Arabidopsis thaliana: one gene and its partner. The protein of the gene in region 2 interacts with the protein of the main gene of each other region in a pairwise test. Each region holds a gene or a part of one and is shown on either strand. Other genes may lie near its edges.

What was found.
Region 1: the proteins of AT5G19680 (region 2) and TOPP8 interact in a two-hybrid assay, tested with the Arabidopsis thaliana proteins (one large-scale study listed by BioGRID).

What each region holds. Positions count from the first base shown.
Region 1 is NC_003076.8:9,862,137-9,867,136, forward strand, and holds TOPP8 (Calcineurin-like metallo-phosphoesterase superfamily protein), read right to left. Parts: upstream 2,988-5,000; 5' UTR 2,693-2,987; coding exon 2,500-2,692; intron 2,340-2,499; coding exon 1,780-2,339; intron 1,651-1,779; coding exon 1,411-1,650; 3' UTR 1,371-1,410; coding exon of another isoform or gene 1,329-1,370; 3' UTR 1,277-1,328; exon of another isoform or gene 1,199-1,276; coding exon of another isoform or gene 1,175-1,198; 3' UTR 787-1,174; downstream 1-786. Other genes in the region: AT5G27830 (folate receptor family protein), read left to right, coding at 79-401, 471-606. UniProt on the Arabidopsis thaliana protein: Serine/threonine-protein phosphatase that possesses phosphatase activity toward para-nitrophenyl phosphate (pNPP) in vitro.
Region 2 is NC_003076.8:6,647,318-6,652,587, reverse strand, and holds AT5G19680 (Leucine-rich repeat (LRR) family protein), read right to left. Parts: upstream 3,015-5,270; 5' UTR 2,926-3,014; coding exon 2,656-2,925; intron 2,429-2,655; coding exon 2,198-2,428; intron 2,116-2,197; coding exon 1,969-2,115; intron 1,881-1,968; coding exon 1,738-1,880; intron 1,654-1,737; coding exon 1,539-1,653; intron 1,105-1,538; coding exon 1,024-1,104; 3' UTR 542-1,023; downstream 1-541. Other genes in the region: AT5G19675 (uncharacterized protein), read left to right, coding at 3,272-3,364, 3,393-3,512; AT5G19670 (Exostosin family protein), read right to left, coding at 3,230-3,898, 3,986-4,334, 4,661-4,791, 4,880-5,270. UniProt on the Arabidopsis thaliana protein: Inhibitor of protein-phosphatase 1 (PP1). Binds to and inhibits PP1 activity.

The DNA of each region.
Region 1 (5,000 bases), 3.2 Mb from region 2:
TTTTGATAAACAAATGGTAGGATAGGACTTTTTCTTTCTGTAGATTTTTGGAAGCTAATGGTTTCAGTATCTGCTTAGGTGATTGGCCCTTGTGGAGTAAACGACGACATAATCTGCATTAAGGCCTCAAATTGGGAATCCAATGGCACATCATTCTGTGAAGCAGCTGGTTTTGCTGTTCAAAGGAATGATGATTCTAGAGAAAAACCGTGCTACGGAAGCAAAGCAAGTCTAGAATCAGTAGTGGAATCATGGTCAAGAGACTCTCGAAAGGAGACGCCTTTAAAAACTGAGACTTTGTCATGTTTTAAAGATCTTCTCCAATGGGTTCGCGAAATGACAACGATTCAGAAAATTTCTTTGGGAATGTCGTTTCTTATAGCAGGAATGTTCTTGATCAGGTCTCACCTTTCTCTCTTCTCTCTTTAAGTAACCTCCAAGTAACAACACCATACTAACACTTGCTTTAGGTACTACAGGCAATCTAATAACCGTAATCAGAAGCAGCGACTAGCTGCGATTCAGAGGACCGCTAGAAGATTGAGAGGGAACGGGAACGGGGATTCATACAGTGCAGCTATAAATAGAAGAACAAGCTCTGATTAAGCTTATGGAATGAATATTTTACAGTAGTTTGTAAAAGCCATGAATTTAACTGTTATCAATAGTAAAGGCTTGTCTCATGTGAAATTTTGCCAAATGCGACAAGAAGTGTGTTGTACTGTTCTGTCTTTTTATACTGATAAAATTAGGGACAAGTAAAATATAACTTTGGCAATGGACAAATGAAGAAAATGTGGAATCTTGACGATATGCAAAAGGGTTTGTACAACAAGGAAAAAAATAACCGAGAAAAAAAAATCTAAGTGGTACTATATTAAACTAAAAGGGCTAAAAGAAGAAAGAAAAGAGAGACTAATAAGGAGATAAAATCTCCAGAAGCAGAAGACAGATCATTTTCTGCATCTATACAAAGAAAACAAAGTGTGTTTTTGTTTTCTCACTTTTTTTGTTTTTTTACAGAAGTTGTTTGATGACTAAGTAAGTACCCTTTGGGTTCTTCATTGCATTCAACCCATAATTGGAGACACAGACACAGTTGTAATGACACTCAGAATCTTGAGCCTAGCTTGAGCTGTGGAACCGTGATATTGACATAGAGAGGACTAGATATTCAAGACTTCCCCATCTTCGGTACCTGATAAAGAGAAATGTAGAGAAAATAGGTGTTATCGTGTGCGGAAACATAAGGAGCGTTAACTCTTTGTGGCCTAACCAAATTGCAATAGTGCTCCCACTGCTTAAGATTGTACACTTTGAAGTCCATGCTAAGCACTCAAATTATAACCTAAGGTTCTGTTGTGAAAGTCCTATAAGGTTTTTCAGAAGGTTTCAAGTTTCAGTTTGTTCTTACAGAAGAATTGTGTTATAAGATGGGCTTAAATCTATATATCTTTGGTAGAAACTAACCTTCTTGAGAGGATGACTGCTTGAAGCTGGGGCTGGTTTCATAATCTCAAAGGAACATACAAGAGACTCGTCAACGCTTAATAACGCACCAGCGTTGTCAAACTCCCCACCATAGTTTGGAGCTGAGAATATCGTGACTAATCTCCGTTTTGCGAAAAACTCATACCCGTCTTCTACTACCTGCATCACAAAACCATTACACATGTCCGATATGGTAAGAATTCAAAAAGTCTCTAGCTTTATGGACAAACGCTAATCAAACCATCAAGAACAATTTCACAGGTTTCGAGGAGGTCTTGTTTGTTTTACCTGATGGCCTCGGCAAATGAGGTCAAGATCATTCTTATCCAAGAACTCAGCGACTTTATCAGCTCCAAAAGTGCAAGAGATACCTCGATCACTATCAGCCCAACCTTCAATCTTCTGATCAGGATCTGACCAAAGTAAATCACAAAGAAGACCACTGTCTGGAATCTCAATAGGCCTTTGAATCTCTCGAATCTGATTCAAATTATCCAAATCTGGTGACAAACCACCGTGCATACACAGTATCTTCTCATCAATAAGTGCAGCTACAGGTAAACAGTTGAAGCAATCAGTAAACACCTTCCAGAGTCGTACATTGAATCTCCGTTTGCACTCGTCATAAAACCCGTAAATCCTGTTGATCTTAGCATCCTCATGGTTCCCTCTCAACAGATATATCTTCGATGGGTACCGTATCTTGTAAGCAAGAAGCAAACATATGGTCTCAAGACTTTGTTTGCCTCTGTCAACGTAATCACCAAGGAATAGATAGTTTGCTGAAGGAGGATAACCTCCGTATTCAAACAACCTCAAAAGATCTTGATATTGACCATGAATATCACCTGAGAGAATCCACAACATAACTTTCAATACCCAAATGCTCAAATTCATAAATAAAAAAAACCCTAACTTTGCAATTTCACCCCCAAAATGCTCAAATTCATAAGAAACCCTAGTTTTTCAAATTTCACCCTAATTAATGATTCGATCATGAGAATTTACCGCAGATGCGAATTGGGGCATGGAGATCAAGGAGATTAGGTTGAGAGAGGAAGATTTGACGAGCGTTAAAGCAGAGTTGACGAATCTCGCTCTCGGAAAGCTGAACCTGTTTGCCTCCTTTACCTTCTAACAATCTTCTTATAATATCATCCAATACTCCTTTCTCCACCATCCCTTCCATACTCGTCATCATCGTGTTCTTTCTCTTCAGATCCCTAAAATATTTTCTCACCAAAATCAAAACTTGCTACAAGGGTTTGCGCCAGAAACAGGAGAGGAATAATGGGTCGTTGTTGGTTTTCCGATCAATGAAGAGACGATCGGAGAAAGTAGACGAATTTTTTCCAGAGAAAATGTGGGTCAAACAAAGAGAAGAAGAAATCTATTTTGTCTTAAAAATTCAGAGGAGGAAAGTTATCAAAATGGAAGAGATAAGAAAAGAACAAATCCGAAAGAATAAATTATAAAATGGGGAAATTTAATAAGAAATCCAAAACTTTTGAAAGTATTTCAGAAATCTACATTGATTTATATAAGTGCAAATACACCCAATCATATATTTTTTATTGGTCCACTTGGCATTTCATTTTATTTTGTTAAATTTTAATAGTATAAATCTCATATATGTATACATTAATCTTACTTATTACTGTTTTGTATAATTGAAATTTATTTTTTCCAAGTGGGGAAACGTTTAGTATTAGAAGAAGGTCAACACATAATTTATTAGGTCAATTAATAGAAATAAATTGAAGTGGGCCATTAATTTTATAATTACTCCTAATTTATGTTTATGGTTTTTTTTTACAAGTGAGATGCACAAACCTTGAAGACCAAACATGAACTTCTAGAAAACTACAAAATTAATACATTACATTTTGTTTCATTATAAATAGTAAATATATTTTTGTTATATACACATTAAGATATCACCACACACAAACCAATTAACATTCTTAAATTTTTACCTCATTTTGTGCTCACAATTCTCAGCATGTAATGAGTTTTTCCAATCTTTTATATGGTATAATTTTTAAATTTTCAGAAGTGGGATGATGTACACATTTGGGGTCAAGAAGATTCTACAATGGAGAAGTAAAAAGTTGCATCATAGATTCATAGTATAGAAAAAGAATGGTAATCTAATACTACAGTGTGTTATTTTTGTAGGTTTGGAAGTAAGTAAGGATTTCAATCCATTTTTGTCATAGGTAACTATGTTTATTAAAGGTTCAATTGGTACACATGATGGTAAGATTAAGTGTATTGATAATTCATACGTCTCAATCTTTTTTATATATATCATTTTTGTACTTCAAATTCTAATAGTAAAGATTTCGATGGCTACAAAACATTTTCTAGATTTGTTGATAAAGTTTCAAAAGTAAACAATTCTAATTTCCACAAAATAAACAAATGGAACTCCCATCTTTATTTTTTCGTTACTGATATATGGTTATTTTCTTACATTTTGTGAAAATGATTTTCATATATACTTGAATATATATATAACAATATAATTTTTTCTAAGATTTGTTTTTCAAATATATGTGCCTTACCTCTTTTTCCTATGTATTTTTAATATAAGCATAGTAATCATATTTATTTTTTTGTAATCCAACATAAATATTATTAAATTATTTTTACAGATTTTTGGTCAAGATTTTTATTTTTCCAGGAAAATAAATTTAATAAAAACGGTTAGATAATTAGCAATTCAAATTTGAACTCAAAATCATATAAATGTTAACATTAAAATAGATTTATCCCTCTCACTCAAATTGTGTGAAATATGTAAAAAAAAAAAGGTTAAATGTAAGAAAAAAAAAATTGGATAAAAAAAAAAAGAACAAAAGAATTTATGCTCTTTGCTAATTAAGATATTACTAAGATTCAAATTTCGATGATAGAACTTTTGCGTAATTGTGTAGTTACAACAATGCATGTGCTATAGCCTTTATTATTTCATATCTCTTAATCCACTTCAACAGTTGGCTTCAAATATCTTATGCAGAATTTAATTATTGTTTAATTATTGTATGTATATCACATGTTTGAAAGTCGTAAAATATTTAAGTGAAGTACAATTAAGATCATATGTATTTCACTATTTTGTTCTTGAAATTTATGATCCACTGAGAAACTGTGTTCGCTAGTATTTTTTACGAAAAAATTACTTTCATCAAATAAAATTTTATGTCACATATCTATATATACATTTTTGCAGCCATTTTAATAAATAAATCTTGGAGTTGGACTTATTTACAATCCTATGTCATTAGCATTAAATCTTTTTTTCAAAATAATTAATTTTACTTTAAATTCTTAATTTAAATTGTCAATCACATTATCAATCAAATTTAATCCAAACAAACTTCACATCAATCACTTAAAATTAGCATAAAAAGTATTTTGTTAACAATATTTTTAAACAAAGTTTTTTGTTTAAATAAATATTGTTCTTACTAAACGTTTTTTGTTTAAATAAACAAATCATGTAT
Region 2 (5,270 bases):
ACTATCTCCGGCAAAGGTCGAAGGGTTTTTGGAGACGCGAAAACTACTATCTCCGGCAAAACAATCTCTCACGGGAATTACATGTTTGAGCTGCGGTAACTAGTAAACAAACGACTGACCCAGCCTTCGTGGAATTAACACATGTCATGTGTTCATTCGCTACAAGTCATCTTAAGCTATATCCGGTTTTCTTGCGTGATGTAAATATCAATCAAATCAAACCGGTGAGCGACTATAAAAGAGAAGTTGACTTTCCAAACCGATGAAATATCAGGTCAACCAAAACCTCAATTCAAAATACCACCATTATTATAAACATTTTCGGTTCAAATCGGTTTAGTATAAACATAGACTACTTCCATTAATATTTTGGTACGTAAGATAATTTAAGGTGATACTTTGCGGCTAACTCTCTAGAGAATGTGATTGCAGAAGTGCAGATCTGTATTGGTGAAATGACTTTTTTCTTTTTCTTTTATACCACTCTTGTACCTTCTTTTATACAGCAAATTTCTTCAGTTCATTAACAAAAAGTACTTCTGTCGGAAAGAAAGATTAGAAGCCCAAAACTTGTAACAAGTTACCAAAAAGTAGTAAAATATGTAATATAGCAACCTTTCAATACTGAACAATCACATGAAACTATAAAGATAAAAAAGCAAGGGGCAAAGTCAAAAATATGGATCAAAGTATTCAAGTTAGTGTTCTCGGTTGAAACTTGAAACAAAGACAACTTCAGACTCGGGGATTCCCTTTTACAGACACAGTCCACATACTATTACAGACCAAAAACAAGAATTGGTTTACTTGCAAGGGAACACTAGAATTTCAAAAACGTTTTAATAAATATCCATGACGAGAGCGATTTAATTTGCTCATTTGCACTTCTTTATGATAAACAGCAGACACATGTATATTTTGAGGAATCCGTGTTGTACCTGATTTCCTAAATTCGATGCCCATGCCCATGGGATGAGGAAGCAGACATTCATACAAACAGCACGACAAGGAATATATCCATCTCTAAGCAAATAAGTTAGAATCAATTTGCTCCACATTCGGGAAGATTTGTCTGACCGCAGCAACATAATCAGAAGACTTGGCCTGAGAGGAGATGGACAACAGAAAATGATACACTTATATTAGATAACGTTTAATGGCTCTCAGTAAAATAATTACTTTTCACATCTTCTGAGCCAAAGAAATTGATAATTTATAGAAGACACTGGGACTCACCCAAATAAATGAATTGACTTATGCAAAAAACTACAACCAAGTTGTGGTACTCAAGTTTACTTAAATGCATAAGAAACTTTATAGAAAAACCCAAGGTTTCTTATGCATTATCAATATATACGGAAAAAAAATAATCTAAATTACGATGCACATTGAACAAGACCAGCAATGGGATCACTCTGTGTACCATTAAATTGACATTCCATATCAAAAAGCAAAAGCAAAACCAAAGATAGGAGATCCTACGATACTGAGTGACAAGACTTTGATGAAAAGTGACTAAAGATTATGATTAAACTTACACAAGGGTTATTTTCGAGGTAGATAGTGGTAAGCTTCTCTTTAGATCCTGTAACAGCTTCTGTGATTGCTTCCAGTGATTCTATCTGGTTGTCATTAAGCCACAAATCTTCCAACCTATAGGTTAAGTTAAAGTCAGGATGGAGAAAATAAATCACCAAAAGACAAAAATCGGTCTGAAGCAAGGGAAAGGTGAAATACTTTGTGAGGTTCTGAATGTCATCAACTGAAGTAAGCTTGTTGTTCGACACGTCCAATACCCGTAGGTTGACCAATGCACTCAAGCCTTCCATTTTGGAGATACCATTATGGCTCAAATATAACTCTTCAAGAGCAACACATTCCTGGGTACATAATATTTCAAGCATCAGAAGAAATAAAAATGCTGGCATGAGGAATGAGTATATCTGCAGAAAGGTAAATGAAGCACACCTCAAATCCTTTCATAGAGGTCAATCGATTGCTCTGCAAGCTAATCTTTTTTATGCATTTGAGCCCACACAGGTTAACAACTTTGATACGGTTTCTTCCGAGCCATAGTTCTTCTAATTTTGTGAAGTTTTCCAGATTTTCCATCACCTGAAACCTCAATGCTTTCAAATTCATTGCTGAAGCACTGTAAAGAGAATAAAAAAATATCAAAGAGGAGGGAGGGACAAACCCGCAATCTATTAGACCCCAGTTCAAGAATCTGCAAGTTGTGTAAGTGTTCAATCTCCATAATCTTGTTAACTTCATTTTTAGACACATAGAGTTCCTTCAGTGTGCTAGAGGCCTTGGATATTCCTTCCAAAGAAGTGATTTCATTGAAAGATATGTCGTAAACCAAAAGCTTCGTGAATATGCTGACATCTGGTACTTTCGCTAGCTTGTTATCTCTGAGAACTAACTCCTGCATAAATTATAGCAAGAAACACTCTTCTTTATCCACTGCCCACAAATAACTATGCCTCTCAGACTATCAATGCCAATTTTCAATTCTAGTGAAAATCAAAAGTGAAATGCAAAAGGCAATTAGCCAAAATCATAACGTTCCACGGCCAAAAACAAAATCAGATGCCTAGATATTTCACCATTTACAAAATCACTCAAAAGATAAATCAGAGAGTCGAGAATCACCTCGAGATCGGACAAGGCGTCCCAGTGAGACAACGGTTCGACGGCGGAATCATCAATTAGGTTTTGGCGGAGAGAAAGCTTCTTAAGCGTGGAGAGCTGAGCGATCCTCGAGTCCAATCCCGACAAACGGTTCGCCGTAAGGTCCAGCTCAATCAGGTTCGGCGGTAACTCGACCGTATCGAGACTGTGGAGCTGATAGCTAGTGAGATCGAGAACATTATTCGAATCGCCGATCTCTTCCAATGGCTCGTCTTCCTTCTCACTGTTCATGGTTTTTTTGGTTCAAGCTCGCGCGATGACGACAACGAGCTTTGTGGGGAACTGGTCTAAACTCTAAAGCGAAGTTCTCTTAAACTTAAACGTCAACGTTTCAGGCACACTTGTAACATTGTTGCCTGTAGGGTTGTTATGGTGGGCCTGAAAACCTATGAATAGGCCCAACATCAAGTCGAATTAGAACAAAATTATGAGTCAATATTTACAAAGGTAGAGTCAACTTTGTAGCTATTCATTACTCACACAACAAACAAGCACATTGGGTCTAAACTTTCACCATCAGCACTCCATAGTAACATCATCTACGCTTTGCTTGGAACACTCTGTTATACCAAATAGAATGCAAAACCATATGAAACAGATCATATTTCTCAGGTTTAGCATGCCACAGAAAGTGCCTTTGCGCCTTTCTCACCGCCATTTGCATCTTCACGTATTTGTCTTCTGGTATTGATAACAAGATATCTTTCAACCTCGGGATGTCTTTCTCCGCAACAATGACCGAGAACGCACTCCAATCAAGAACCTCGAAGAAAGGTGGCACAAAGTTGTCGGAGATGATCACAGGGACACACTCATAGAAAATCGATTCAACCACCCTCGGGCTGTTGACTTCGTACCCTTTAGGACAAATGCAGTACTTGCTGCTTTTCATCTGCTCGATGTAATTCATCTTGCTCGCCACACCAAATGGCATTCGCCCGAAGATTTTCATGTCCGGGTCTTTGTCTTTCCAATGCTGTAGCAGAATCTGACGTAAGTAACCGTGCATGCTTCCAGCATAGAAAGCCAGGGTCCGCCTCTGAGACGGCGGTTTTCCACCCAAATCACGAAGCGGATTTTTGGCGGCTCTGACATATGTTTCAGGGAGTGAGATGTCTCTTCCAATCTTAAAGCCTGCGGTTACGTCTGCATTGCATAAAGCTTTAATGCAATGCTCCATGTGGTGCCTAGTCTCATATGGTGCCTGTTAGTGAAGCCAAATTCAACATAGAAAATTGTTACCTATAGAAAAAATGATTAGTTAACTTTAAAAAATGAAACAGATGCCTACCCAATCATGACAAGCAACAAGAAAATGATCGGCTCCATCGGTTCTATTGAAGAAAGGGTACTTGGAACTGATGTGCTCCGTATATTCCTTAAGAAACTGGCGTAGGTTAGTGCGGTTGTGAGAATTACGCACATAAAGTGTGTATTCTAGCATCCGTGCACTAAATGGCATATAGTACAAGTGAGCCTTTCTTGGGTCCTTTACAGTGTACTGCTTGTTTCCTTCCATCAACTTCATGAACCATCCCTCTGATGCATACAATCCCTTGAGTATCGGAGTATGAAAGATGGGGCGGTTCCCTTCCTTATATACGTAAACTTTGAGTATCCGTTCCATAAGTTCGTAACTCCTGAGGCACATAACTGAATCGGATATGTCAAGATTACCTTTTATAAGAAGACACTACCAAACAGAACGAATTTGTGAACTAAACATATAATATGAACTCAGGCTTTCTTTTTCTTTTTACTCTCTTCACAGTACTAAGTTCCGAACAGAAAATTATCTCAACATAGGACCATATGATGCGGATTTTACAGTAGGAGTAGTGCTAAAGTTTCATCCACATAGGACTAATGATACTACTGAGGATTCATCAATTCGTGTATATACCATTACTCTTTTTCATTACCAGCAAATTTAATTCAGAATTAGCTCTAAGTTCTGCACTTTTACCTTTTAAACAGGGAAACATTACGGAATATTGGAGGGTAGAGCTCCCGTTCAAGTTTTGCAACCGGAGCATTCTCTATCTCCTTCCTTGCAGTCAATATCTCCTCATCTCTCCTCGAAGACCAACGCGGTCGCTACATTGGAAGTAGTATATCTCTTAATTGCATCATAACTAAAGTTCCACAGGTGAAAAGAAAATAGAAATGACAGCTGCACACATACCATTGCTCGTGAAGTTCTACGGTGCCTTGCTAATATCCGATTCATCTCATCTATTGTTGTCACAGATTTTGGTGGAAGATCACACCGCATTTTCTTCTTCTTACTTACTTTCTTAGAAACAAGCAAGGAACTATTTCCAGATGCAGGACTAGCAATGGAGGAGCCCCCACTTAAAATAGAGCTTTTGACGTTCTTCTGACTTTGAACCGTCACATTTTGCACCTGATAACCATTATTACTCGTTGAAACACTCTCCTTTTGCATTACAGTAGTCTCTGAAGGAAAAAGATTATCACTGCTTCCAGCAACTTCTTTGATGATGATACTGTCTTTCACATCTTCAAAGCTCTCAAAATCAACATTTCCAACAAACCCTTCATCATCCTCAGAC